Callithrix jacchus: one gene and its partners. The protein of the gene in region 2 interacts with the protein of the main gene of each other region in a pairwise test. Links are inferred from orthologs where the notes say so. Each region holds a gene or a part of one and is shown on either strand. Other genes may lie near its edges.

Evidence for each region.
Region 1: the proteins of TNIP2 (region 2) and NFKB1 interact in binary tests that used the Homo sapiens proteins (3 or more experiments, as listed by UniProt). The link is inferred for Callithrix jacchus from reciprocal best matches to the Homo sapiens genes TNIP2 and NFKB1.
Region 3: the proteins of TNIP2 (region 2) and STK11 interact in binary tests that used the Homo sapiens proteins (3 or more experiments, as listed by UniProt). The link is inferred for Callithrix jacchus from reciprocal best matches to the Homo sapiens genes TNIP2 and STK11.

Annotation. Positions count from the first base shown.
Region 1 is NC_133504.1:94,839,070-94,849,667, forward strand, and holds the start of NFKB1 (nuclear factor NF-kappa-B p105 subunit), read right to left. Parts: upstream 5,631-10,598; 5' UTR 5,174-5,630; intron 4,977-5,173; exon of another isoform or gene 4,784-4,976; intron 1-4,783.
Region 2 is NC_133504.1:190,415,809-190,425,630, reverse strand, and holds the end of TNIP2 (TNFAIP3-interacting protein 2), read right to left. Parts: intron 9,387-9,822; coding exon 9,297-9,386; intron 8,822-9,296; coding exon 8,573-8,821; intron 8,402-8,572; coding exon 8,282-8,401; intron 6,089-8,281; coding exon 5,825-6,088; 3' UTR 4,015-5,824; downstream 1-4,014. UniProt on the Homo sapiens protein: Inhibits NF-kappa-B activation by blocking the interaction of RIPK1 with its downstream effector NEMO/IKBKG.
Region 3 is NC_133523.1:1,141,130-1,150,951, reverse strand, and holds part of STK11 (serine/threonine-protein kinase STK11), read right to left. Parts: intron 4,379-9,822; coding exon 4,295-4,378; intron 3,540-4,294; coding exon 3,450-3,539; intron 2,561-3,449; coding exon 2,428-2,560; intron 2,356-2,427; coding exon 2,219-2,355; intron 1,755-2,218; coding exon 1,627-1,754; intron 1,092-1,626; coding exon 1,034-1,091; intron 108-1,033; coding exon 1-107. UniProt on the Homo sapiens protein: Tumor suppressor serine/threonine-protein kinase that controls the activity of AMP-activated protein kinase (AMPK) family members, thereby playing a role in various processes such as cell metabolism, cell polarity, apoptosis and DNA damage response.

The DNA of each region.
Region 1 (10,598 bases), about 96 Mb from region 2:
ATGCCTATATACAATCTTTTTTGTTGTTGCCATATCTATATATATAACTAATACATATCAGTATATTTAATATACACATTAGTTACATATATAATTTAAAAATTAATTTAAATTATATTAAATTAATTTTTAAATTTGAATTTTTTTGTGAGTGATATGAGGGGAGATCGGGGTCGTCAGAACCAGAATTAAGTGGCAGCAAAGCAGACTGGGCTGAAGTGAGCAGCATTCAATAAAATGGTTGTTTTCCCACAAGGGCTGCATTAGGGCTTCAAGGGGGGGCACTGTAGGGACAAGGAGTACTGACATTTTTCCCTATTCTCATCTAGATGGTATATTTCATTTAAAAAATTGTGTCCACACAGAACAAATGGTTCAATTCAGAATTTCAAGGCCAACTTCTAAAAAATACTACAACTGAAAAATAATGAAAAAGCTCTGCCAGGATGAGGCCTCAGCTTCTACAGTGTTGCAAAAACCATTAAAGTATGAAAATGGAAAGTACAGTAAACCCTGCTCACTGCCTGCTTGTGCCTGAGGTTTGCCATCTAGTAATTCTTAACAGTCACACATTTACGGGTGATAGGTGTTTAATTCTAGAGGTCATAACACATTTTGTTTTAACTTTTTGGTTGATTAATTTACATAAGCGTTAACAATTGTTGGATTACCAAGCAGTGCTTGTAGCATTGCTTCTTTTTTTGAGGTATTAGTATTTGATATTACAGTTTCAATGGAGTGTAAAGAAATTCTAATTTCACCAAGAAGTTACATTTTTCAATTGGACAAACACCTTTTATCATTCCAGTTAATTTATTATCTTGCTCTGGTGCCTCTAAAACTTTGAAACTAAAAGGCATTTTTTTCCCCTGTTCATAAATGCCTCTTTCAGAATGAAACGTTCTCCTTTTGGAAGGCTCCAGGTACTTTTTAATAAATGATTTGTTCTAGTAAACTTCAAGAGCTTTTTAGGTAAGAGTTCCATAATAGCTAGGATGCAAGGACTGTTTTGGTCTCCTTTCTTTCCAGAAGACAAAGCAAAATAATATCATTATTGTTCCTTATAGAAGATGGCTGTCCATTTAAAAAAACAAAATGCAATAACTTCATGTCATTCATTAAACAGTTATTGATTGCTTACTATGTGCCAACAAGTACAACGTTGAGCATCGGATATTGCTTTTGTCAGTACAGATAAGATGTTATTTCTTTTTAGTTGAACTATAGAATATGATTCTCTCAGACAGCTTTTCCTTTCTTTTTATTTCATTGTTTATAATTTTGGCTAGTTTAAAGAATAAGCCATATAGAATACATAAATTCTTTTTTAAAGCTCAATCAGCCAAAATTTTTCACAGTTTAAACTAATAGGATCATAGTGAGTTCAAGTCTGTTGATACCTACTGAAAGCAAGGGTCAAAATAAAAGCTATTTTAAGGTTTCTGGATTAATGGTAAAAGAAATAAAAAAAATAAGGCAATCTGTAATGAATAATTAAACCAAATATATGAGTGTTCTAATTTCAAAAGCAGGCAATACATTAAAGCAGATGAAATCTGTATTACTGATAATTAAATCTGTGTTACTACAGAAAATATGAGAATAAAAATTATTTTTAATATAAAATACACTTTCTATTAGTAGTACTCTAAATTAAACAAATATTTTCATCCATAATCTATCTTTTGAGATTTCTATAATCTTTAACAATTCTTATCTTATGTGACTCTTATTTTGTACATAACTGTCAGGCTTTAAATTATTTGAGGTGAAGCAATGTAATTTGCACAACTTATTTTCTAAACTGTTGGCTGATCTTCAAGGACAGGTCAACAACCTCCGGAGATGTAAAAGACAGTATATTAATTTGCACCCAGGAACAACCTCCAATACAGCAGAGACCAAAGGTATGAAGGAATTTCATCATCATTAAAAGAATGCCACTACTTGTTTATCTTTTTTTCTTCTGAAAGTGAGGCACGGGATACTAATTAATGAAATATTACGAAGATAAATGGTTTGGTTATGTTACCAGAACTGTACCAAATTATGTGGTTTCAAATACTAATCTTTTTTGAGTAAAAAATTCACAGTTAAGGAACCAAATTGACTCACAAGACTATGCCAAAACATTCACACCTTTCTCTGTGAGGCTGAGTACCTCTAGTTCTTCAAGTCTCTGTCTCCAAAGTAGTGACAGAATTCAAAGAGATATCACATACTCCTGATGGTTTATTGCTCACCTCTAAGAACACTACAAGTGAGTTCAGTATTCATGGGAGGTGCAAAAGTGCAAATGAGAACTAATTCCCAAAAAGCAGAGTAAATGGCTACAGTATGGTCTACTGGTTACCAAGATGCAGTAATCAATTAATGCTGATTAGACACAAATGTAGATGTAGGAGCAGAACATCTTAATGTATCCTCTAGCACTAACTTCTATTTTTTCCTTCCCATCTTCTAATGTAACAATCTAACTACTGTAGACAATTCACATTGTAAACAGAAAACCAACAGACCAACCTAATAAAACAAACTTCCTACTAAAAGTAAAAACGTTAATGAGAAATTTTGCATAGCCATTGATTCATGTATTTCCATTCCTGTTAATGCGATTTCTGATCAATCTGTGGACCAGAAGAGCATAATCTGAGTATTTACTCTATTGGTTATACAACAGTACATTTCCAGATATGCTTCCTACTGCAGTCAATTCTATGCTCAGAATAGCACATCTACTAAGACTTGAAGATGAAAAAGATGACATTTTTGAGTACTTTATAAAAAATCTATATAGCAACTCAGACACAATTATGTTACTGTTTGAAAAATCAACTACTCGTCTTACTTCTCCCAAGTTCAAACCAACTGAAGGTTATGAAGCAACCACTTCCCCCAAAAGCCAGAACTTTCACCTCCTCTGAACAGAGAAATACCTCTCATAAATTAGGTAAAAATAAGGTCTTGCTGATGGAAGGATCATCCAAGATTCATGTAGCTGTCAATTCCCTATCTCTCCCACAATGTGCAATCCCTGAAAGTCAAGGTAGTAACTTACTCCATCAATTATCTGCAAGTCTAAAAGTGTGGTTAAAGCAACCTGCATAAATATTAGTTTCTCAAATTAGTTCAATTTGTTTCCAGGAACAGTAACAAGAGAAATGTAAGGAATATGATCACTAAATATAAAATTCTGCCAATTTCAGATTAATTTGCTTTAATCAACTCAACCATCACAGATCTTGTTTAAGAGGTAGAGTAAAAAGGAAGTGCAAAGATCAAAGCAATGCTTACAAAGGGGAAGGGGAAGGACTATTTTTGCAATGTATACCCCCATATTTACTACCTGGGTTTGAAAAACAGGGGCATTTACTCAGCACAAGTGAGTACCAATGCAGAACATAAGAAATTTCAAAAAAAAAAAAAAAGATAATAAGATTTTTAAATCACCAGCAACCCAGGATTATACTGTTTTCTTTAAAAAGTCTCTAAGAGTTTAAGTGGTTTTTTCACTGCAAGCAGCAGTATTAAGCATACATATAACGTGTTCCTTTGTGTTCAAGTTTGTCCAGCAGGCTGTAGCCCAGGAAGACATTTTATCTAAACAAGCAGGGGAGGCTATTTAGGAATTGCAGGTATATCAATATGGATGAATAATCTCAGATTTCATGTCTCCATTAATCGTATAAGCTCTTTTCGTTTTAGCAATTCAATTAAATCATGAATGTAAAATTCTACAAGGAACAGATCTTTTTACTTCCTGCTTTCCCAAGTTTATAAACTAAAAAAAGTACTCTGCTTCAAATTTAAATACATAATTCCCATAGTGCCTCAAACAGTAAAAGGATTCACCTCTAGAAAGCACAGTATTATAATTAGGAAAAAAAAACATACTTCAGTTTTAAGTTTCCCTTTTAAAGTTTTAACAAACAGGAATGCACTTTAAACTGCTTGATAATATTCAGTTGTCGGATTCTGCTAGAAAAAACGTATGGAACATCATGACCCCAACCTTTAGTATTTACTAAAGATCACCAGTGTGTAGAAGAATATTTTGATGCCAGAGCTAGTCAATGTTTTAGTAATACCATAAGCATTTTCTCAGATTATGAGCTTTATAACAAAATCTTTAGGTTAAATACAGTTAGTTCATAAACTGTAATGCTGAAAACCTCTACTTAACAGAGTACATGAAAATGTCTTGAATCTTGATAATTAAATCCTGTATCATTAAGTCCCATTTGAGTTTCAGGATAGACCAGTAAGCCAGGGCAAACATCCCCTGGTGTATATGTTTTTAAAGACCATAGGAAAACTTACATTTAGGTTAGGCATTGTTTTTACATTATTTTTTGTTTTGGAGGTCATGCACAATGCATGGTGACTCTGTCCAAGAGTTTTACATAATCAAGTCTAAAAAGTGCTCTAAGTATGCAAGTGACTATATCGTGTGTGTGGTGGGTTGGGGGGTGGGGGGCAGGGGGAGAGGGAGGGCGGGAGGGAGGGGGGAGGGAGAGAGAGAGACAGAGAGAGAGAGAGGAAGGGAGGGAGGGACAGCCTTCCTTTAGAAGTAGGAGAGGGATGAATAGACTCTCCTATTCAATTCTGGGGAGCTGGAGAGGGCTTTCCCAGCCAAAAGGACTGACAAGGACTTCTGCTTTCATTTCATGGAACGCCCTTAGGTGAAATCTGGTTCTGCACTGCACCAACCACCTTCCCTCTCTCCTCCGCGCCGCAGCGCACCTCAACCTTCTCACCATCCCCCAGCTGCGGCTGGGGGTGGGGATTTTAAAAGTTTGTAAGAGTTCCCCACCGGTTAGCGTTCCCGCCCCGCGGAGGGACGTGAATAGAAATGACCGCCCGGGGGCCACGGCCCTTCGGCCGAGTAGCCCCCTGCAAGGTCCGGATGCGCCGAGGACGTGAAGAGGAATGACCGCCCGGCGGCCGCGGCCCTTCGGCCGACTAGCCCCTGCGAGGTCCGGATGTGCCTTTCCCCGCTGTCTCCAATCCCTTGTGCCTCTCAGCTACTGTCAACCTTCTCCCACGGTCTAGCCCAGCGGTTAGCGCAGGAATAAGGAAGTCCGAGTGGGGCTGGAGGGGTGCGGAGGGCTGGGTGGTGGGACTCGGGCCACGCGTACCCTGCCGGGTCCCCACTCGCCCGAGTTTGGCTTACCCGGGTGGCGAGTCAGCGTTCGGCTTCCTGTCGCGGGTGGGCTCTCCCTCCCGGGCGGCGCGGGCCTAAGAGCTGGAGAAGGAAGAGGCGGCGGCCGGCCGGAGCCCGAGCGGGCCCGGGTGCGGGTCGGGGCGAGCGAGAGCGCAGCGGGGCCAGGCTGGGCCAGTCAGCGCCGCGCCATGTCCGCAGCGCGGGCGGAGGGAAGCGCAGGGCGCGCTGTGGCCGGGCGGCGGCGCGCCTTCCTGGCCGAGCGGCTGCGGCCTCGGCGGCGCTGGGCTCCGGGAGCCGGGCCGGCGGCGGCGTGCAGGCCGAGGGCGGCGGCGGCTGGCGGCCAGACCGACGGGAAGGGCAGGGGAAGCTGTCAGCGCGTCGCCGGGCCGCTCCGGTGGCGAAACCTCCTCTTCCTGCCCCGGCTCGCTGGTGCACTTCTCTCTCTTTCTCTGTCGCTCACTCTCTCACTTCCTGGCTGGAAATTCCCACTGACGTCGAGAGAGCATACAGACAGACTGACACACGCGCGCACGCAGCGGGGGCGGGAGGTGGGGTCGCTGGCGGGGGTGGGGGAAGCCCGCATTTATGGGGGCGCCCTGCGCCCCAGGCCCGGCCTGGCTTCTGGGCTCGGCTCCCGCCCCTCGGGGCCGCTTCGGGGCGCCGGGCGAGGGGCGCGCGTTAGGAGGCCAGGACGCCCCGGTACCCTGCAGGGCTCTGGCTTCCCAGCCAGGCGCTCCCGAACCCCGAGGGCTGGAGCCGGTAGGGACGCCCCCAGAAAGCGCCTGCTGGGCCTGATGGTCTAGGAACGCAGGCGGCGCGGAGGCGGCGGCGGCGGCGGTGCAGCTGATAGAGTCATGCGGTCCAGAGACCCTAAGGGCAGGCCCGAGCAGCTGGAGGGTCGGCATGGATCCAAGCATGCCAGATATAAAAATAAAGCTCATCTGTATATTCCATTTAAGTGTGTCTCAGTTACACTCAAATCTCTTCGCAGATTAAACTAGAATTTAGATATCATAACCGACTTGTGTCAAGTGAAGTAACCTCTACTGGTTTTGGTGCAGTCTTAAATCTGGTTAGGACACTTACTCAGAACATTCATCTACCAGATATTGTTAGGCTTTTATGATAATTACTGTGGATAGAATCATAGTGATGGTGGTAGGAATGCATTTGATCTGACAGAGGGGAGTTTTCTTTTTCTCTGAAGAGATCGTTACTGGCACCCACAGACAGGCCTCCCAGTGGCCACCACCATTCACTGGCATCTGAACTGCTTTAGTGTTGGGCACTGTACTAGGCACAGGCTGGGGAGAAGTTGGTAGTGGACTACCTCCCCACATAAGCATGTTAAGCCGAAATAGATATTTTAGAGCTCATTGTTTAACTACTGGGTCGAGTGACAACTGAAAGCTTAGCTTTAAAACATCAGTAATCAGGTCTGCACCAGGCAATGTCGCAGTGACATTTAGATTGCTTATGGCATGTTCATCCTAATCCTTTCATGCCCACTTTCTGTCCTCCTTCTCCAGTAGGTCATAAGAACCTTCTTGGTGGAGTGTTTTTATGGAAAATAAAAACGAAACAAACAAACAAAAAAAACAGATCCATTTGATTGCCTATGAGGTGAGCCTCCGCACCTAGCAGTCTACCTTTAAGAGATCTCATTTAGCTCCCAGAGGCTGAGCAGCTGGGATTCAGAAGATTCATAAAGATTGAACACAAAGACTTTTAAAGAAATTCTGTAGGCCAGGCGCGATGGCTTACATCTGTAATCCCAGCACTTTGGGAGGACGGGGCAGGCGGATCAGCTGAGGTCAGGAGTTTGAGACCAGCCTGACCAACTTGGTGAAATCCCGTCTCTACTGAAAATACAAAAATTAGCCGGGCGTGGTGGCTACTCGGGAGGCTGAGGCAGGAGAATCGTTTGAACCCAGGAGGCAGAGGTTGCAGTGAGCCGAGATGGTGCCACTGCACTCCAGCCTTGGCACGACAGAGCAAGACTAAAAAAAGAAAAGAATTTCTGTGTTATTATTTATGGGACAATATTAGAAGTTGTGCCAATACTACAGTAGAATGAGATACAGTTTATGTTAAATGATTTTTGCCAGTGACATGAGTAAAAAGTCTGCAAGCTCTCATGAAATAACAAAGTGTAAGGGGAGTGGGTTCCCCCACTTTTGGAGGCATGAGCATACACACTCTACTTTTCGTTCTGCAAGGGGTGGCAGCCCCATTGCCAGAAAATAGATAAATAGAATTGTTGCAAGAGTACAGTCACTGTGACATATATGGGAGGAAAAATGAAGAGTGTTAATTACTGAAAAAGATTAAACCAAACTGCAAACTCAAAATGATCTCATAAAATGAACAAAATTGAGGGTAAGGTGTTGAGCAGGCATATTAGTTTCCTGGGGCTGCTGTAAAAGGTACCATTGATTGGATGGCATACAATGGGAATTTATTCTGTCACAGTCCTGGAGCCTAAAATTCTGAACTCAAGGTGCCATCAAGGCCATGCTGCCTCTGAAGGCTCTAGGGAAGAATACTTTGGCTCTTCCCAGCTTTTGGTGGTTCCAGCAATACTTGGCATTCTTGGCTTGGCTGCAGCACTCCACTCTGTGCCTACATTGTCACATAGTCTCCTTCCCTGCATTTCCTTTGTGTCACTGTATTCAAAATCTCCCTAACCTTTCTTTTATGAAGATACCAGTCATTGGATTTAGAGCCCACCCCAATCCAGCATCACCTCATCTTAACTTGATTACATTTTGCAAAGATTCTATTTCCAAATAAACTCATATTCACAGGTACCTGTGGTTAGGACTTGAACATATGTTTTGGGGGGGATGTAATTTCATGCACCACAGCAGGCAAAACTATAAAAGCCTTCAGCTCACTCTTTTTGGCTCCCTGACTAACCTTCCTCCATTCCTGCTTTGTTGCCCAACATTTTCTCTACACTCTGCACAAACCTGCTTCCAGGAATATTTCTTTTTTTTTTTTTTGGTGGGGGAGGAAGGCAGGAAGGAAGGGAAGAAGGACGGTAGGGAGGAAGGAAGGGATGAAGGAAGGAAGGAAGGGAGGAAGCGGGGAGGGAGGGAGGGAGGGAGGGAGGGAGGGAGGGAGGGAGGGGAAGAAAGGAAATCAAGCAATGAAAGAGATATTGCCGACCTGGATCTAGAGGTTTACAAGTTGATTTCTTTTTTTATTTGAGAGAAGGAAAGAAAAAAAAATAATAAGTAAAGAAGAAGAAGAAAGAGGAAGAGAAAGAGGGAGAGTAAATGGAAATATTGCTTTATTTTGAAAAAAATTGGGTATTAATAATGGCCAATTAATGTTTCATTTAAACTAATGGGTAGGTGTGATGTGGTATTGACAAGAATGTATATTTTGTGTATTTGAAGTGGAGAGCTCTATAAATATTTATTAAGTTTACTTGTTCTGGATCTGAGTTCAAGTCTTTGATATCCTTATTAATTTTCTGTCTCATTGAATCTAAGTCTCCTATCTGGGTGTTAGGATCATTAGCTCTTGTTGTTGCATTGATCCTTTTACCACTATATCTTTGTTGCTTTAAAATCTATTTTATCCGATACAAGAATTGCAACTCCTGCTTTTTATTTATTTATTATTTATTTTTGCTCTCCATTTGGTTGGTAAATCTTTCTCCATCCCTTTGTTTTGAGTCTTTGTGTATTCTTGCATGTGAAACAGGTCTGGATGTAACATGCCGTTGGGTTTTGGCTGTGTCTTTTGATTGGGAATTTAGTCAATTTAAATTTAGGGTTACTGTCATTTGATGTTGACTGGCTGTTTTATCCATTTGTTGGTGTAATTTCTTCTTTATGTTGGTGCTCTTTACTTTTTGGTGTATTTTTAGAAAGGCTAATACTGGTTGTTTCTTTCTGTGTGTAATGCTTCTTTCAGAAGCTCTTGTAAAGCAGGCCTGGTGGTAATAAAATCTCTGAGTTCTTGCTTGTTCATAAAAGATTTTATTTTTCCTTCAGTTGTGAAGCTTAGTTTGGCTGGATATGAAATTCTGGGCTGAAGGTTCTGTTCTTTGAGGATGTTGAATATTGACCCCCACTCTCTTCTGGCCTGTAGAGTTTCTGCCGAGAGATCTGCTGTAAGTCTGATAGGCTTGCCTTTGTGGGTTATCTGACCTTTCTCTCTGGCTGCCCTTAGTATTTTCTCCTTCGTTTCAACCCTGGTGAATCTAACGATTATGTGCCTTGGGGTTGCTCTTCTTGAGGAATATCTTTGTGGTGTTCTCTGTATTACCTGGGATTGAATGTTGACCTGCTTTACTAGTTTAGGAAAATTTTCCTGCATAATATCCTGAAGGGTATTTTCCAGCTTGAATTCATTCTCTCCATAGCATTCAGGTACACCTATCAAACGTAAATTTGGTCTTTTCACATAGTCCCACATTTCTTGGAGACTTTGCTCATTCCTTTTTATCCTTTTTTCTCTAATCTTTTCTTCACGTTTTATTTCATTAAGTTGGACTTTGACCTCTGATATCCCTTCTTCTGCTTGAACAATTCGAGTGTTTAAACCTGTGCATACTTCTCGGAGTTCCTGTATTGTATTCTTCAGTTCCGTTAATTCACTCATACTCCTCTCTAAGTTGTCTATTCTCAATAGGATTTCATCAAACCTTTTTTCAAAGTTCCTAGTTTCTTTACATTGGGCTACAACGTGTTCTTTTAACTCACCGAAGTTTGTTATTATCCATTCCTTGAAGAGTGATTCTGTCATCAGGAGGCGCTCATTCTCCATCAAGCCTTGCTCCATTGTCGATGTGGAACTGTGATCATCTTTAGAGGGAGAGGCGTTCTGACTTTGAGTATTCTCAGCTTTTTTACGCTGGTTTCTTCCCGTCATTGTAAATTTATCCTCCTGTCGTCTTTGAAATTACCAACTTTCAGATTAGGTCTCTTGAGTGGATGTCCAGGTTGTTAGTTCCCAGGGCCAGAGCAGCGGCATTAAAACTGATGGTGCTTTTCTGCCCAGGATTCTCCTGTCTGGCTTCCTTCTTGTTTCCGTAGTAGGCGACTCTGCCTTCCCGGGGCTCCAAACCTCGGTCAGAAGGGGAACCGGTCCACGTTTACTCTGTGCCTAGCGCTGCCCGCCGAGGTGCCGGCGGAACCGCTGCACCGACCACGAGAGTCGCGCTGGCGACTCGTGTGTTTCCACCACTGGGGGATCTTCTGCTCCGTGAGCGACCAGACTTTGTCTGAAAGTGTGGCGTCCTCTAGTTCTCCGCGCCTTCCCTGAGAGCTGCAATCCGGGGATGTTAGCGATCGGCCATCTTGGATCGTTCCCCCCCAGGAATATTTCTTACAAATTCATCCATCCTAAGGTGTCAGAAAGTATTTACCATTATCAGGCTACAAAGAAAAAAAATGCCTCAGTGTGGAATTTCAGGCAT
Region 2 (9,822 bases):
TCCCATTAGTTCTGTCCCTCTAGAGAACCCTAACACAGCTGTTGGCACCAGGAGTGGTTCTAGAGGAACAGAGTATTAAGGAGGGAGTTCTTTTGTCGGTTTCAGGTTTCTGGAGTTGGCCGCTTAATACGATTAGACCCCAGCGTGCGAAGGACTCTACTTCTACTGGTATGGAGAGCACTGATGGTCCTTGGGAGAAACTGTTAGGACGGTTATGCAGGATGAATGTGTCTGGCACTCCCGATTCACCGCTCTTGAGAGCAAGGAGATCAGGGACTCCACATAACACCTTTGACCACGTGGAGAACCGAGGAACATAATGAAGCTGGTGGTTTCTCCTCAGTTCAGAGGACAAAGGGTGAAAATAAATGATTAACTCGGAGATTCTGACTCCTGGCTTCAGAAGCAGATACTGAGCCTCAAATCTGCTAAGACTGCCCTGAGTGAGAGTCTTTTTTTTTTTTTGAGATGGAGTTTTTCTCTTATCTCCCAGGCTAGAGTACAATGGCTCGATCTTGGCTCACTGCAACCTCTGCCTTCCGGGTTCAAGCGATTCTCCTGCCTCAGCCTCCAGAGTAGCTGAGATTACAGGTGTGCGCCACTATGCCCAGCAAATTTTTGTATTATTAGTAGAGATGGGGTTTTACCATGTTGGCAAGGTTGATCTTGAACTCCTGACCTCAGGTGATCTGCCCACCTCAGCCTCCCAAAGTTCTGGGATTACAGGCATGAGCCACTGTGCCCAGCCAAGAGTCTTATTTCCTATAAAGAGCTGAAATTGGGGGAAAACAGACAGAAGCTCTGATGGTGCAAGTGGCTGACCTGCAATGAAAGGTGCACGCACAGCCTCACAGGTGTCTACCGTTAAGGTGAGAGAGGGCATTGACTGGTAAAGGATGGGCCCCTGCAACTTGGAATGGGGACGTGTGGGAGGACCCTGATGAAGCTGGGGATAGGGAGCTCGTAAACTCTGATGAAACCTTTCTGCCAGAAGAAACAACTTCCCATCCCAGTAGTGGCAACATCCCCTCCCTGTGACTGGAAAGACATAGGAGTGGAGACTCCCACCACATCCTCACTCAACTCTCCTATTTGGCCTGTGCAGAAGACAGATGGATCCTGGAGAATGACTGGATTATCGTAAGCTTCACCAAGTGGTGACTCCAATTGCAGCTGCTGCACCAGATGTGTTTCATTGCTGGAGCAGATTAACACATCTCGTGGCACCTGGTATGCAGCCACTGACTAGGCAAATGCCTTTTTCTCCATTCCTGCCCATAGGGCCCTCCAGAAGCTGGCAAGGCCAGCAATATACCTTTACTGTCCTACCTCAGGGGCAGTATATAAACTCTCCCGCTTTGTGTCAGAATCTTGTTCAGAGAGACCTTGATCGATTTTCTCTTCCACAAGATATCACGGTGGTCTAGTACATTGAGGACACTATGGGAAACACACTGGACTTATTGGTGAGACATTTGTGTGCCAGAGGATGGGAAATAAATCTGATTAAAATTCAGGGACCTTCCATCTCAGTAAAATTTCTAGGGGTCCAGTGTTGTGGAGCCTCTTGAGATACTCCTTCTAAGGTGAAGGAAGTTGCTGCATTTGTCCCCTGCTACAACCAAGAAAGAAGCAGTGCGCCTAGTGGGCCTGTCCTGATTTTGGAGGCAGCACGTTCCTCACTTGTGTGTGTTACTCTGGCACATATATTGAGTGACTGGAAGGGCTGCCAGTTTTGAGTGGGGTCCAGCACAGGAGAAGGCTCTGCCCCAGGCCCAGGATGCTGTGCAGGCTGCCTTGCCTCTTGGGCCACGTGACCCAGCAGACCCAATGGTGCTTGAGGTGTCGGTGCAGTTGGGGTGCCGTGTGGAGACTTTGGCAGCCCCCATAGGAGAATCGCAGCAGAGGCCTCTACGATTTTGGACAAGGCCCTGCCATCTTCTGCAGATAACTACTCTCTTGGCCTGTTACTGGGCTTTGGTGGAAACTGAACGTCTGACTCTAGGTCATCAAGTCACCATGTGACCTGAACTGCCTGTCATGAACTGAGTGCTTTCTGACCCATCCAGCCATGAAGTGGGTTGTGCACAGCAGCATTCCGTCATCAAATGGAAGTGGTAGATACGTGATCAGGCTCCAGCAGGTCCTGAAGGCACAAGTAAGTTACATGAGGAAGTGGCTCAAACGCCCATGGTCTCCACTCCTGCCACCTGCCTTCTCTCCCGCAGCCTGCACTGACAGGCTCATGAGGAGTTCCCTATGATCAGCTGACAAAGAGAAGACGAGGGCCAGGCTCACAGATGGTCCTGCACGATATGCGGGCATCACCTGAAGTGGACAGCTGCAGCACCACAGCCCCTCTCGAGGACATGCCTGAGGGACGGCGGTGAAGGGAAATCTTCCCAGTGGGCAGAACTTGGAGCAGTGCACCTGGCTGTGCACTTTGCATGGAAGGAGAAATGGCCAGATGTGCGATTATACATTGATTCATGGGCTGTGGACAGTGATTTGGCTGGATGGTCAGGGACTTGGAAAAGCATGATTGGAAAATAGGTAACAAATCTGGGGAAGAGGTATGCGGATGGACCTCTCTGAGTGGTCAAAAACTGTGATGGTATTTGCATCCCATGTGGGTGCTCACCAGTGGGTGACCTCAGCAGAGGAGGATTTTAATAATCAAGTGGGTAGGATGACCCGTTCTGTGGACACCACTCAGCCTCTCTCCCAGCCTCCCCCGTCATCGCCCAATGGGCCCATGAACAAAGTGGCCATGATGGCAGGGATGGAGGTTACGCATGGGCTCAGCAACATGGACCTCCACTCACCAAGGCTGACCTGGCACGGCCACTGCTGAGTGCCCAGTTTGCCAACAGCAGAGACCAATACTGAGCCCTCAGTATGGCACCATTCCTCAGGGTGATGAGCCAGCCACCTGGTGGCAGGTTGATTATACTGGACCGCTTCCATCATGGAAAGGGCAGAGGTTTGTCCTCACTGAAATAGACACTTACTCTGGATATGGGTTTGCCTATCCTGCACCCAGTGCTTCTGCCAAGACTACCATCCGTGGACTCAGGGAACGCCTCATCCGCCATCATGGTATTCCACACAGCATTGCCTCTGACCGAGGTGCTCATTTTACAGCGAAAGTGCAGCCGTGGGCTCACGCTCCTGGAATTCACTGCGCTTACCATGTTCCCCACCATCCCGAAGCATCTGGATAGAATGGTGGAATGGCCTTTGGAAGTCACAATTACAACGCCAACTAGGTGACAGTACTTTTCAGGGCTGGGGCACAGTTCTCCAGGAGACCGTGTATACTCTGAATCAGCATCCAATATATGATACTGTTTCTCCCATGCCCCGGATTCACGGGTCCAGGAATCAAGGGGTGGAAGTGGAAGTGGCACCACTCGCCATCACCCCTAGGGGCCCACTGGCAAAAGTTTTGCCTCCTCTTCCCACGACATTATGTTCTACTGGCCTAGAGGTCTTAGTTCCAGAGGGAGGAACGCTGCCACCAGGAGACACAATGGTTCCATTAAGCTGGAAGATTTCCACATGGACACTTTGGGCTCCTCCTTCCTTTAAGTCTACAGGCTAAGAAGGGGGTTACAGTGTTGGCCGGGGTGATCGACCCAGACTATCAAGATGAAATCAGTCTACTACCCCACAAGGGAGGCAGGGAAGAGTGTGCATGGAAGACAGGAGCTCCCTTAGGGCGCCTCAGCATTCCCGTGCCCTGTGATTAAGGCAATGGGACACTACGGCAGCCCAATCCAGGCAGGGCTACAGATGAGCCAGACCCTTCGGGAATGAAGGCTTGGGTGGCTCCACCAGGAAAATATCCACGACCTGCTGAGGTGCTTGCTGAAGGCAAAGGGAATACAGAATGGGTGGGAGAAGGGAGTCGTCAGTACCAGCTCCGACCATGTGACCAGCTGCAGAAACCAGGCCTGTAGTTGCCATGAGCATTTCCTGCTTTTGTTAAAAATGGTTGTGCACGTTTACACCTGTGCTAAAAAATCTTCCTTTTATTTCCTTTCTCCTGTGACATAAGATTGATTGACTTCACGACAGCATTTGGGTTGGGGATTGGTGCGTTTCTGGTTGTATGAAAGACGTTGTATTATGTTAGGTGTTAATTATGACCTCATTACTGTCTATTTGAAGACTGTGTATGAGCTCAGGAGATGTGTCTGGGTTCAGGCTGACAAGGGTGGACTCGTGGTGGTGAATACTGAGTACTGATCCCGGGCGTGTCTGTGAGGGTGTTGCCAAGAGATTCACACTTGAGTCAGGGGTTGGGAAGGCAGCCCCACCCTGAATCTGGTGGGCACCATCTCATCAGCTGCCAGCGCAGCTAGAAGATAAAGCAGGCAGAAAATCGTGAGAAGAGACGGGCCTGGCCTCCCAGCCGACACCTTCCTTGTGCCAGATGCTTCCCCCCTCGGACGTCGGACTCCACATTCTTCAGTTCCAGCCGACAGCTTCCTCGTGCCAGATGCTTCCCCCCTCGGACGTCGGACTCCACATTCTTCAGTTCCAGCCGACACCTTCCTCGTGCCAGATGCTTCCCCCCTCGGACGTCGGACTCCACATTCTTCAGTTCCAGCCGACAGCTTCCTCGTGCCAGATGCTTCCCCCCTCGGACGTCGGACTCCACATTCTTCAGTTCCAGCCGACAGCTTCCTCGTGCCAGATGCTTCCCCCCTCGGACGTCAGACTCCACATTCTTCAGTTCCAGCCGACACCTTCCTTGTGCCAGATGCTTCCCCCCTCGGACGTCGGACTCCACATTCTTCAGTTCCAGCCGACAGCTTCCTCGTGCCAGATGCTTCCCCCCTCGGATGTCGGACTCCACATTCTTCAGTTTTGGAACTGGGACTGGCTCTCCTTGCTCCTCAGCCTGCGAACGGGACCTTGTGATCGTGTAAGTTAATGAACTCCCCTTATATATATGAAGTGGACGGCTACAGCGCCACAGCCCCCTTCTAGGACATCCCTGAAGGTGAGCAGTGAATGGAAATCTTCACTTCTCTATATATTCCATGAGTCTGTCCCTCTAGAGAACCCTAACAGAGCCAGCCTCCCACTGGACCCCTTGTCTTGGCACCCTGGCATAAAGCAAACAGCAGGAGTATTGTTTTCCCATGCCAGCTGCTCTAATCCTGCTGGAAATACTGCTCAGTCCCTGCAACCCAGCGCCCAACACAAATTCTCAGAGCAGTCACAGTGGCAAGAACATCTATTATAAAAACAGGAGGATAAAATAAGTGCTTTAAGTTCTGGATATGCGACAAATGCTATTCGATGCTGTTTTGCAGTGTAGGCATGTGGCTCTGTGACGGTGGGTGGGCCCCTAGTGTGATGCACGGCCAGTGCTCCATGTGACAAACCTCCTGGTTCCAGGCAGAGAGGAGGCACCTTACCCGTAGAAGAGGATGGGGCTTCCACCCTGGGGACCGCACGAGTGGCTCCCACAGGCAGCCACCCCTTTCTGGCAAGCTGCGGCATTCCCAGGTGCAGGATGGGGGAGGGCTGGCACGCCAGCATCAGATCGCTCTGGCTTCAGCCTGATGGAGACATACGACTGGGACCTCCCTCCCATCTCCACCTCCAGCCTCTAGCCTCACTGGCAGTTCCCTGGGACCCAGCCTGTTCCACAGCCAAAGGGGGACCAGAGTGAATGATCACAGCACCCCACACATATTCTGGGGGTCTTGGATCTCAGTAGAGCCAACCCATGGCACCTGAGAGCACCTCCCTGTCCCTGAGGGCAGCTGTGCCGGGCCAGGGGCCGCAAGGACATGGTGAGTCTCAGTCACTGGCAGCACTCGGCCACATGCCTGAGGAGCTCTTCACCTTGCTCGTCACTGAAGCACTGGAGGCAGTGAGGGCACTGAAGGTCCCCCTGGCCTTTCTGCGCTGCACCAGGATGCCCATCCTCTGCAGGGGGTTCCAACTGCTGGGACCCAGTCCCAAGCCTCGAGCCACAGGGCACCATAAGCGCCACTGCATCGGTGGCCAAGTATTTGGCAGTTTTGCTCCCAGCGTGAGTCCGGCAGGCGTCTGGCTCTTGAGAATCCTGCAGAAAAGGCAAGGGTCTATTTACATGGGCTGTGCTGAAGGTCACAAAGCCGGCTCTCAGGTCCCAGCAGCTAGGGCTGCTGCATCTATCCCTGAATGGAACTGTAGTCCCTCACTTTGCTTCCTGCTGTACCCCAGAGCCCAGACAAAGGTGTGCTCAGTGAATGACTGCAGAGGTCACGCACACTCTCCCTCATGCTCAGGAAGAAACAGGCCCTAGCGGGATCCACTCCCCAGCTCTTTGGTGGAAGCCCTGTTCTGTCGGCCCCATCGGCCCCAGGAGACCCGACTGAGAAGGTGGCCCTGACGATGTGGCCCACATACCACTACAGCGTGGAGGTGGCAGAGCCCAGGATGGGGAGCTGGGCAAACAGTCCCAACCCCACTCTGCATCTCCTCTGTGGGGCTTGGGGGTGCTGAGCACTCTGGGGCCCAGGGAGTCCTTCAGTAGCAGCAAGAGGTGTCCCTGGCTTGGCCCCACCACTTGGCACAGCTTAGCACACGTTCTCCAAACGCCTGTCCTGAAGCACTGCAGCCTGCAGCCCTCACTGCTCGTCTGGGAACGCCATTCCAGCGGGCCTTGGGCTTCCACGTTCCGTCTGAATGTGGCTTTTCCCCAGTGGGACTACAGCTTATCACCCAAGCCTTCAGCACCATGTCCCCAGGTATGCCACCTAGGGACTGAGCAACACTCCAGGGGCCCCAGGCTACTGCTGAAAGGGACACAGAGGCCACTTGGTACAGTCTCCAGGCCCTACCAGAAATTTTACCCTTGGGGCTAAGAATCTGGGCCTGCAGGTCTGGAACCCGTTCCCCTGGTCTGAAATCTTTGAGAGGCTGCCTGAGCCCATCCTCACGATTGTACCATTAGTGACCCCTCAGTCCATATCATGGCTTCCTCAAATTCACGGAGCCCCGAAAACCCACAGGCAAAACCAAATCCCAGGAAAACCCACATGTAGTTCTGTAGCAAGATGTTTCCATTCCTGCCCAGGGGACATGCTGAAGAATCCCTGTCCCAGGCCTGCTGTCCCAGCGACTCAGGAGAATCTGAAATTGGGGGATGGGGAACCACCCAGATACACTCCATTCTATGATGCCAAGAAGGCTGCAGGGGCCGGCAAGGGCTTAAGGCAGGGCCTGCTGTGGCTGGTGAAGCCTCCAGCACCTCCCTGTCAGCCTGTGGACTTAAGCGGGGAAGACAGTCCCCCACCAGGTTCCTCCTCCGTCATGCACGACTACAAACGGCTGCCTGTGTCCAGCCCTTGGCTGCGAGCTTAGTCCCAGGGCGTGTTAGAAGAGGCGCCCACCATGACTCCCCTGTGCCCTTCGTGCAGAAGGAGAAGCAGAAGCCACAGAGGCCCAGTGGCTGCTCAGAACAGGGCAGTGGGGCTTGCCCTCAGCCCCAGGATCCCTGTCCACACCCTGCCACAAGGGGCAGCTCAGCTTGGCGTCCCAGCTCCCGCCCGGGGGGGCGTCGACTCTCAGGGCACCACTACCTTTCAGCCTGTGTCGGGGAGGAGGTCTCTGAGTGGGGCCCGGGCCAGACGTGTGTTAGATACTTGATGAGGAGCTAACAAACTTCGGGATTTTTGCAGAACACAAGTCAGTGAAGAGAAGGGAAGAGGCTGTGGGCCACACAGTGAGGAGCTCCATCACCTCCTACCCACAGCAGGCCTCCTCAAGGCATCCCCATGGCAGGAACAGCACTGAGCCCAGGGGTGGGGTGAGGGGCCTCTGGCCAGCAAGGCCCAGCTCCATGTGCCAGGCTGAGCTGGGGGAGGTTCCTGGATACCCAGGGCCATCATATCTCTGTGACAGGGTAAGCAGGGCTCCTGCCTCACAGACAGGACAGGACATGTATGGAGCTCACACTTTGAGGCCCGGGACACGCTCTCTGACTGCATGGCAGTGACGGACAGGCAGGCAGGACAGGCCCTGAGGACAGCCCCTCTGCTCACACAGGCCGCCATGCCAGCCTCCTCCACAACTAAACCCAGTGCGACAGGGAGGCTTTCCAGGACCATGCCCCAGGTGCTAGGCAAGATGGCTCTTCCCAGAGCAGGAAGAGCTCACCACCCTCATCACCAGCACATCAGGGCCTTGGCAGACACAGAAAGGCTCTAAATTCATGAGAAGAAAAACAAAAACAGCAAACCTAAGCAAGAAGAAAAATGCCCTGATACCTTACCTGTCTCCAGGACACCTGGTGCAGCAAAGAGGTGACTTTTTCCTCCAGTTCCTGAATCCGACTTTGGGCCCGTTCCCGATCAGCCCTTTCTGACATGAAGTCATCCTTGTAAGCTAGAATCTGAAGAGAGCCAAGACACACATTCCTGCTCAAGGAAGGAGGAGTCTCCACCAGGCTTCTCCCCCCACCATGACCACCGCCCACTCAGGGCCACCAAGCCTTCAGCCCAGCCTGTCCCATGATTTTGGACATCAGCTGGTCAGTGCCATCCCGAGCCCGGGGGACAGACACCTGCTGCTCCAGCATCTGCACCCGCTCCAGTGCAGCGTCCCGGGCCATCCTCGAGGTCGCCAGCTCCTGCTTCACTTCTGTGCAGCTGTTTATCCTTTCTTCCAACTGTCTGTTGAGCCGGGAGATCTCCTTCCTCATCAGCTCAGGCTCACGGGGGATCTGCAGCCCCCTGAGCTGGGCATGGAGCCCCCTCACATATTCGTCCCTGCTGGCGTCGTAGCGCTGCCACTTGGCATTGAGGTCTTCAACCTGCGGAGGTGGAGCAGGGCAGCTGACAGCGCTGCTCAGGCCGGCGCCCAGTGTGGCCTATTTCCTAGCAGGGATTCGCAGAGCGAGTTTCCTCTGAAATGGAAGCTCCCCTCCCTGTTCTGTAGACAGCAGACACTCAGCCCACTAGAGAATCCTGAGGCACTGGGACGACGCCCGTACGCTACCGCAGAAACAGACGTGGGCACGGTGCGACTTTTCCGTTAGAGAAGGTGCCTCCTGCGGGCGACTCCCGCATTTCCTTCACTGACGCGTGAGTTCATTTTAGGGGGACAGAGATGGACAGAACACGTCCTGTACATCATTGTAGGCAAAAAAAAGTACAGTCTCTAGGGATTGTGTGTGTGAAGCCATCGTGGCCAGAAGGTGGGGCGACCTCTGGCATCAGCCGAGGAAAGAGCCCTCACTCAGTTCCAAGGCACGTGTCCCTCCCAAACGAAACGGGAAAGACACTCACGTGAGTCACCTTCTGTTTTAGCAGTCGGTTTTCTTCCTGTAACTTTTCAATAACACTCTGGACGGAGGTGGGCCCACCTGTATGTTCTGACTGCATGAGGAAGGGACAGAGAGAAGACGCACTATCACACACAGCAAGGCGGGAGAAAGCTAGACCCAGAGACTAAGGCCACAGCGTCTCACTGCATCCCCCAGTGCAGTGGGTAGTGATCGTTCATTTGGCGGAGCAGCACAAGGGGACAAGGGACTACCTCCTCCCTGCCCAGGCCCACCCCACCAGGACCAGGCCACGTCACCTGTGACACTGTCCTCATCCCTGTGACACTGTCCTCATCCCTGTGACACCATCCTCGTCCCTGTGACACCGTCCTCTCGTCCCTGTGACACAGTCCTCGTCCCTGTGACACTGTCCTCATCCCAACCTACCTACCAGTTTCAGCTGTTTGTCTTTTATTATTTTTTTAGACGGGGTTTCACCATGTTGGTCAGGCTGGTTTCGAACTCCCTACCTCAGGTGATCCGCCTGC
Region 3 (9,822 bases), on a different chromosome or scaffold from region 2:
CTTCCAGGTAGGGCACCACAGTCATGCTGCGCCACCGGTCCTTGGTGTCCGGGCTTGGCGGGATGGGCACCGGTGCTTCAGCTGGTGGGTGTTTCTTCCGGAACCAGCTGCAAATGCCCAGAAGCAGTGGCACCTATCAGGCCGGCACAGGGCAGTCCAGCTGCCCAACCCCGCTCCTCGGAGCTGGGACCAGGCAATGCGAGGGGTGGCCGTGACCACAGCAGCTCAGCTATGCCCTCCTGGAGCAGCCAGGCTGCCAGGGCCCTACAGCTCTGACCTCACTCCAAACCTGACACGTCTCCTCCACCCCAAGGCCTGACCCCCATGCCCCGTTTCAGCCTCAGATCTGTCTCCCAGGTGGCATTCAGAAGCCAGGGCACCCCCCAGATGCAGGTCAGCAAAGGCCAGAAGGGAGGCCACGTGCACATCCAGCCCAGGAGGCTATCGGAGGGCAGCCCCAGCCCCCACCAGGCTCCCAGCTGCCCCAAGCTGCCCAAAGATGCCCCAGGCACAATCAGCACCAGCGCCTCAGGGGTCCAAACACTCCCACTCAGGCCTTGTTGGACAGCTGAGGAACTCTGAGGGCTTTAGCAGAAGGTTCAAGGACCCCCCGCCCAGGGGCTGGCCCAGGAGGTGAGGGAGGTGGCACTGCAGGGCCTGCTGACCCCACCCACTGCCTTGTCTTCCCTGTGGTGGAGCTGGGGGCCCTGGGCTGGATCCCAGTGAGGAAGGAAAAGGAAGACCCTCCAAGTGCCCGGGCCAGCCGTGCCTTTCCTGGCCCAATGCCAGGCCTGGAGCAGGGATGGACACATGACCTCACTCAGACCCCAGCACAGACAAAGCCTGTCTGGCCAGCAAGGGGGCGCTGCCCAGAGACCCCCCTCAGGCCCCGAGAATTGTGAGCACTGTACGTGATCCTGCCCTAGACCCAGACCGGCACTCCCACCACATCCCCCACCACGCCCCCTGCTCCGGCCCCCACTCAAGCAGCTGCCCCCATGGCCGGCTTCCCTGTGGCCTTGGCCCCACTCACCTGTGCTGCCGGATCTGCCGTATGGAGAACCTCTTGGCCGGCTCATACTCAAGCATCCCTGAGGAGAGGCAGGTGAGGAGCCGGGCAGCGCCAGGCACAGGACTGAGACCCCACCAACCTTCCCCACCTGCCCAGCCTCTGCTGTCAAGCCCTGGGTGACGCCTGGATGCTCCCAAGGGCGGCCTCCCTGACAGAGGCCACTCCAGGGGACATCACTGCATGGTGGATGGGCGACCAGTGCCACCTGCTGCCACTCGCAGATGTGCAGCAGCGTGAGCCTGGCAGACCCTGCAGGCCAGGGAGCTCAGAGGCCCGGGCGGGGGGGGGGAAGAGCAGGGCAGCGCTACCTTCAAGGGTGGGAGTACAAAGGGGGAACACAAGGCCCAGAAGAAAGGGTGGAGTTGAGTAATGGCGGCGGCGGGGAGGGCCGGGGAGGACCTTTGGGGAGGCCGCCCTCTCCAGTCAGTCCTCTCAATGCCCTGCTAGGGTCCCTAGGGCCAGCAGCCACCCACCTGACACCCCCAGCCTGCATTTCTGCACAAAACCCCCTCCTCCCTGTGGAGGGGCTGTGGGCACAGGGATGAGGCTCCCACCTTTCAGCAGGTCGGAGAGCGGGGGGCCACAGTCGCCTGGGATCGCGTAGCTCCCCTTCCCAATGTTCTCGAACAGCTTATAGATGTTGTCCCCCTCGAAGGGGTACAGGCCCGTGGTGATGTTGTAGCTTCATTTCAAGGAGAAGGAAGGGGGCGTGGTCAGCCACGGTGGTCGATGCCCTGGGAGTCCCAGCTCTGCAGCCCTCGTGTGGCCGCTGGAGCGCAGGCCGTGCGAGCTCAGGGACACCTCTGTCGTCACCCCCTCCCACTAGCAGAGGCCGCGGGGCAGGAGGGGGGTGTCCTCTGGACCCACCTGGGGTAGGGGCTTGGAGCCAATCTCACCCACCTGGCTTCCCTGTGGGGCTCTGGGAGTGAGGGTGGGCTGTGCCACTGTGAAGACACCCGACATGCCAGGCCGCACCTCCCACGGTGAAATACCATGTGCTCTGGGAGTCACACCTCAGGTAAGCACCCCCCAGCGGCTGTGGCCAGCAAGGGACTGGGCTGATGGCCATGCCCTGTGCCTACCCAAGACACAGAGGCCCCTCCAAGCTGTGTGTATGGTGAGTGCTGGGACAGCCGGGGCACTTACAGGGTGACCCCAGCTGACCAGATGTCCACCTTGAAGCCTGAGAAGGTGTCCAGGCCGTTGGCAATCTCGGGGGGCTGGAACGCTGGGGAGCCCTGGCTTGTCCGGCAGGTGTCATCTGCCGCAAACGGGTGCAGTGCCTGTGGAGATGCCGCGCAGCCCTCAGAGAGTGCCGGGACGGGGCGCCCCAGGGCCCCCCAGCGCGTGCCTACCTCAGCTACGCCCAGGTCGGAGATCTTGAGGGTGCCGCCGGTGGTCAGCAGTAGGTTCCCCGGCTTGATGTCTTTGTGCACGATGCCCTGGCTGTGCAGGTACTCCAGGCCGTCGATCAGCTGGCAGAAGTACCTGCGGGCAGCACAGCACACACCTGTCTCAGGGCCGAGGCCACCCCGCCCATCACAGGCTCTCCTCTGCAGCCACCTGGGAGCCTCCCAAACACCACAGGCACAGCTGGGGAGTCACAGGGTCCAGGCACACCGGACAGCGGAAAGGTTGGGTCCAGCAGGGAGCCTCGCCCGCACTGGCAGTGACCACCCTTGTCAGGCTGAGCCACATCAGGCAGGGCCCCGGGTGTCCAGAGGTCTCACTTCCCCGTGGGCCACAAGCTGGCTACAGCTGTCTTGGAACAGTAGGCCCCTCCCCTAAGGCCCTTCAGCAGCAAGGGGCCCTGACTCTGGCCACCAGACCTCTACCCAGGAGGGCCGGTCAGGGCAAGGGGATGCCGGGGACTGACTGGGGGCAGGCCGCTGGCCTCGGGCAACAGGAGGCAGGAGGCCGGCAGCAGCGTTGCCTGTGGATGCCACAAACGGGGGGTCCCTAAAACTGGTTTTTGTTTGTTTGTTTTCATGAAAACTGTTTTCAAAAATCTCGGGCCGCCAGGCATGGTGGCTCATGCCTGTAATCCCAGCACTTTGGGAGGCCAAGGCAGATGGATCACAAGGTCAGCAGTTCAAGACCAGCCTGGCCAAGATGATGAAACCCATCTCTACTGAAAATACAAAAATTCCAGCTACTCAGGAGGCTGAGGCAGGAGAATTGCTTGAACTCGGGAGGCGGAGGTTGCAGTGAGCCGAGATCGCGCCATTGCACTCCAGCCTGGGCGACAGAGGGAGACTCTGTCTGGAGAAAAACAAACACACAAACAAACAAACAAACAAACTGAGGCCCTCGGGTCAATGAAGGTCAGGACAGGCCCCGTGGGTACCGGGAAAGGAGCGGCCCCGCCCGCACGCACCCGTGGGCCTGGCACAGCGGGAAGCGCCTCTCGGGCACGCTGTCCAGCATCTCCTGCATGCCGCAAACACAATACTCCATCACCATATACGTGCGGGGGTGCTAAGGACACAGCTCAGGAGCGGCCCCGCCCACAGGGCTCTGAAGGGACCCGCGCACCCACCCTGCCACTCCCACCCTGCCACTCCCCGGGGCCACACCTCTACAAAGGCCCAGGGCCCTGGAGTCCCAGGAGGAAGCCGGAGAAGGTGTGAAGGACAGGGCTCTCCGGCAGCGTTCCTGCGGGGCTCCCTTTCCCCACCCTGCCCACAAGCAGGGGCAAGGCCTCCCAGACTCCGCCACGAGCAGGCTCGGGGCCACGTAAGACAGGCCCAGGCTCTTGGCCTTGCAGCTCAGGGAACACAGCCCCAGCCTCAGGACCACTTCTAGCTCTTGCTCTGGGCACAGGGCCCCGGGAAGGACAGTCCCCGTAGGGAGGCTGTGCCCACAGGACCCACTGGGGGCATCTACAGATGACACGAGGACATGCCTGGCCATGAGGAAAATGGCCCACAACACTAGCCTGTGTCTCAGGCCCCGGCCGCACCCTCATTAGCCAGGGAGGAGATGTGAGAAAAACGGGTCCTGACACCCCCCATGACACAGGGCTGGGGCTTGGGGCCCCTTTCAGCAAGCGGTTAGCTGTTGCCACAATGGCTGACCTCTGGGGAACCAGGGAAAGCCACTGCCCTCGTGTGCCAGTATCCTTCAGGGAGATGAGACGGGGTACAGACCTTAGGGCAGCCCGACCCAGGGCCCCCCAGCCCCTCCCACGGAGGCCCCGCAGCTCAGCGCTGGGAAGGATATATTTTCTGCTTCTCTTCGTTGTATAACACATCCACCAGCTGGATGACGTTTTTGTGCCGTAACCTCCTCAGCAACTGAATTTCCCTGGGACAGAGAGGAAAAAGGTGTCAGCTGATCCCCCGATGTCAGTGACATGACCCAAATCCCCGGGGTCGGCCTCCCCATCTCCCCACGGAGGTGGCACATCTGGCTCCCTTCCCTGGAGAGAAGCTATGGGTTCAGACTGCTGGGGCACGGCCCTGCAGGGGCCACACTTCCAGGCTCGGGGCGGCAGGGGAAGGGAAGGCGGCGCCCTGGCTGGTGAGGGCTCTGGAGGACTGGGTGAGAACACTCTTAATTCAGCTGTTACGCAGTCACAGTTGTGCTTTCTAGACACAAGACTACTGCCACAGTAGCACAGATGGAGCCCAGACGATGGGAGGAAACAGGGCCTTGGGGCCCTGGTGACGCCTCTGTTGCCCAGTATGGTCCCATGCTTCCAAGGGCTCCCCACTCCTCTGAGGGTCCCAGGCCTTGGAGAGTGGGCTGCAGGTGAGCTGAAAAGATGGCCCACAGGAAGGGGCACCCGGAGAAGGAGAAGCCAGCCGCTGAAGCCATTGCGGGGTCTGCCATGACCACCCGCCTGTCACAAGGGTTGGTGTCCGGTGCCCAGGGCCCAGCAGGCCAGAAGGCACTGCCTCCTCTGCAGCTGCTGCCCTGTTGCGGACATCTCATTTCTCCAGAGTGACCCTGCCAGGCACGATGGCTCCCGCCTGTCATCCCAGCACTTCAGGAGGCTAAGGCGGGGGGATCGTTTGAGGTCAGGACTTCGAGACCAGCCTGTAATGTGGCAAACGCTGTCTCTACTAAAAACACAAAAGTTAGGCAGCTCATGGTGACTCAGGCCTGTAATCTCAGCACTTTGGGAGGCCGAGGGCAGCAGGTCACCTGGGGTCAAGAGATCGAGACCATCCTGGACAACATGGTGAAACCCTGTCTCTACCGTAAATACAACGATTAGCTGGGTGTGGCGCATGCCTACAGTCCCAGCTACTTGGCAGGCTGAGGCAGCAGAATCGCTTGAACCTGACTGATTTTGTTTGGTTTGTTTTGAGATGGAGTCTCGCTCTATTGCCAGGCTGGAGTGCAGTGTCGCGATCTTGGCTCACTGCAACTTCTGCCTCCTGGGTTCAAGCAATTCTTCTGCCTCAGCCTCCCCAGTAGCTGGGACTGCAGGCATGCGCCACCACGCCCGGCTAAGTTTTGTGTTTTTAGTAGAAACGGGGTTTCAGCACGTTGGCCACAATAGTCTTGATCTCTTGGCCTCGTGATCCGCCCGCCTCAGCCTCCCAAAGTGCCCAGCCACCTCGCCCAGTCGACAGGATCCCAATCCAGGAAGTGGATTCAGAGTGGCTGCGGCTGGTGGAGGGGACGGAGACTGACACTACAGGAACGGGGCTTGTTTTTAGGGTGACGGAATGTTTTGGAATTAAGTGGTGGCTGCAGAACCGTGTGAATGTACGAAATGCCAATGAACTGCACACTGCGACTGAGTTGTACAGTATGAAACTGTATCTCCAGTCTATACATCCTTAACAGGAAGCGCAAGCACGGAGCATGGAAAATAGAGGGGGGGGGGGGGCGGACACGGCTCGCGCCTGTAATCCCAGCACTTTGGGAGACTGAGGTGGCAGGATCACCTGGGGTCGGGAGTTCGAGACCAGCCTACCCAATATGGTGAAACCTCCTCTCTACTAAAACTATAGAAGTTAGGCGGGCATGGCGGTGCACACTTGCCGTCCTGGCTACTGAGGAGGCCAAGGCACAAGAATCACTTGAACTCTGGAGGTGGAAGGTGCAGTGAGCCGAGATCCCACCACTGCACTCCAGCCTGGGCAACAGAGTGAGACTCCATCTCCAAAAATATACCTGGGGGTGACAGGGGTGTCCCATCATGCAGCCTGCCCCGCCCCTGCCTAGGGCTCCATGAAACAGGGTGGCAGAGGTATCCCATCACTCATCCTGCCTGGCCCCTGCCCAGGGCTCCATGAAACGGGGTGACAGGGGTGTCCCACCACTCATCCTGCCTGGCCCCTGCCCAGGGCTCCATGAAACGGGGTGGCAGAGGTATCCCATCACTCATCCTGCCTGGCCCCTGCCCAGGGCTCCATGAAACGGGGTGGCAGAGGTGTCCCATCACTCATCCTGCCCCGCCCCTGCCCAGGGCTCCATGAAACGGGGTGGCAGAGGTATCCCACCACTCATCCTGCCCCGCCCCTGCCCAGGGCTCCATGAAACGGGGTGGCAGAGGTGTCCCACCACTCATCCTGCCCCGCCCCTGCCCAGGGCCGCCTGTTGCTGGAAGCCTCAGCTCACGACTCCCAGTGCATTAAGAATCCCAAGGCTCTGACACTGCTCCCTGCCCTCAGTGCAATCTCAGACGGCCAAGACCAGGGCTCTGTCAGGGCTGCAGGCTGCACTGGGGCTGGGCCGGGACAAGGGGCCACCAGATCGGACAGCAGCTGGGAGAGCAGGATGGAGGGAAAGGAAGCTGGGTGAAAGGACAGGGGCACAGAGAGGCACCACTGAGTGCCTGCCTCCAGCCCCTGGCTGTGCCCAGCACCCTGCCCTGCGGAGCGTCCCCACTCCCCACTGGTTGCAGCGGGCCTGGTCTTCTCGCTGGGAAGCCCTGCATTTCCGTTCTCCCCGGGCTATGTGGCGGTGGCACCAATTCCCAGCAAGGTCCGGCAAGGCTATTTATAGAGTTGGCCAGGGCCTGTGTCCACAGGCTGGCAGGCACCCAGGGCACTGAGGGGGACGCTGACGGCCAGGCTGGGCTCAGCAAAGGCTCCGGGGCCCAGTGCCCTCCTGCCTGCCAGGCTGCTCAGGAGAGCTCGGGGTGGGCCCAAGAGGCCCGGTTGAGCCCCAGTTCCCCTTGTCCCCTGGAATCTGTGTGGCCCTAACCGCCCCCCCCCGCTGATGAGGGCCACAGCCCAATCCTGCGAGCCAAGACTTGCCTTCTGTTCAGAGGAGACCGAGTGGTGGTGGGTGGGGAGGGTGCTGTTTTCAGATCGGGACCAGCCTGAGCCCCGACCAGGCCAGTCCAGGGCCCTCCCCAGTGTCGGGATGAGCCGCTTCATGTTAGGGGGCCACTGCCTAAGGGACACCAGAGCCGACGGAGGCTGCCACTGGCCAGCAGAGGCCGGATGCTCGGACACCAGGCCCCGAGAGCCTGATGCTCAGCCATGAGGCAAAGGTGCCCCTCCCTTGGCAGAAGCCGGCTACAGGCAGCGACGGTGGCCCAGGACACCCTCTTCCAGCCTCCTCAGTGTGGCCAGGGGAGCCACGGGACCCTCGGGGCCAGCACCGCTCTCGTCCACCTCCTGTTGCCCAGGCAGGGACCACCCCACACCCACCCAGGCTCCAGTGCAGTCCTAACCCCGAGGAGGGGCAGTCAGGCCTCAGAGTCTTACTTAGGGGCTGCATGGCCCTAAATGCACATGAGGATTGGAGACTCGGTCCTGGAAACCTCCCTGCACTGACGAGGGTGGGGACTCAGTCCTGGAAACCTGTGCCGGCCACCACCTGCTGACACCACGTCTCCCCCACGAGCCCTCATTCTACAGGTGGGGAAACAGGAACAGGAGGAACCTGCCCGCACTGAGGGTGCCAGCCCCTTCCACTGCCCTGCCCCTGCCTCCCCTCCACAGGGACACTGCACAGCAACCGAAACAAGGAGCAGCCCGGCGTTCCTCAGCAGGTGGGCACAGACACGGGACACTGGGTTGTCTGTTTAACTAAAAGGGACCAAGACATTCTGCGCAGGCACACGAGTCCCCTGATTTACGCCAGGGGAGAAGCAGGGGTGGAGCACCCTCTGCCTGCTGGCAGTCACCTCTGGGATGCTGGGGCACATCAGCCTCTCTAGATCGCCAGGCTTCCTCTGCTGTCTCCAGCCAGATAAAGAACAGAACATGAACAAGAGCCACAGGGAACCCTAAGAGCTCGGCGAGAGGGAAGCCCGGCTGTTAGGGCATTGCCAGTTGCTCCCAGGTACCACATGAGGAACCCGCTGGCCTTGCCCAGGCAGTGTGGACTGTTTTGCTGACTTGATTAGCCAGACAGGAAACAGGAAGCAGAGTCATAAACGCCACTCAAGCTCACAGAGGGATGGGGGTAGGAGCCCCCATCAGCCTAGAAACAGATCATACGGGGAAGAGACGGCTCAGCCTCCTGAGGCTCAGAGCAGGACTGGGAGGCACATGGATTCCCAGGAACTCCCACCTCCAGACCACATGCCCTAGTCCCTGTGGACGTGGCTTAAACAAGGCCCTCAGGAGGCATTCGATGCGGATGCCAACTGGGTGCACGGGCACCAAAGCACCCACGATTCACAGGCAGAGGTGGGGGCAGCCCGAGTGTCCACCCGCAGATGAGCGGTCCAACACGGCGCGGCCCTCCACGCGCTGGAACGTGACAGAGACGTGCACAGCAGCAGGGCTCGGACCCAGGCCACAGCGCGGATGCACCTTGAGGACGGCACCCTCCGTGAGACATGCCGGACACAAAATGCCACACGGTGTGTGACTCCATTTCCGTGAAACGTCCAGGTCAGACCCATCCTGGGTGTCAGGACTGGGGAGGGAATGGGGAGTGACGGCTCACGGAGAAGGGGTTCCCCACTGAGGTAATGGGAATGTTCTGAAAGCTGACAGAGGTGACAGTTGCACACTACATGCCACTGAATCGCACCCTTTAAAACCGTCAACTTGGCCAGGTGCAGTAGCTCACGCCTGTAATGCCAGCAGATCACAAAGCCTGGCCAACACGGTGAAACCCCATCTCTACTAAAAATAGAAAAACTAGCCGGGCATGTTGGCGGGGCGTGGTGGTGGGGGCCTGTAATCCCAGCTACTCAGGAGGCTGAGACAGGACAACCCCTTGAACCAGGGAGGCAGAGGGTGCAGTGAACCAAGATTGCGCCATTGCACTCCAGCCTGGGGACAGCAAAACACTGTCTCAAACAAACAAAAAAAATCATAATGACGAAAAGGTGACATTTTCTGCTGAGACGGAGTCTCGCTCTGTGGCCAGGCTGGGTGCAGTGGCGCGATCTCAGCTCACCGCAGCCTCCACCTCCCAGGTTCAAGCGATTCTCCTGCCTCAGCCTCCCGAGTAGCTGGGATTACAGACGCCCACCACCAAGCCCAGCTAATTTTTGTATTTTAAGTAGAGACGGGGTTTTACCATATTTACCAGACCGGTCTCAAACTCCCGACCTCGGGTGATCCATCCACTTTAGTCTACCAAAGTGCTGGGATTACAGGCGTGAGCCACCACGCCAGGCCAAGGTGAGCTTTATGATATGTGAATTCCATGCCAATAAAACTATTGGCAGGTTGCAGTGGCTAGCAGGTGGTAGCTTGAGTCTAGGAGTTTGAGACCAGCCTGGTCAACAGGGTGAAACCCCATCTCTACAAAAGAGGAGCCTGGGTGGCAGTGAACGCCTGTAGTCCCAGCACTTAGGGCAGGAGGATCACCTGAGCCCA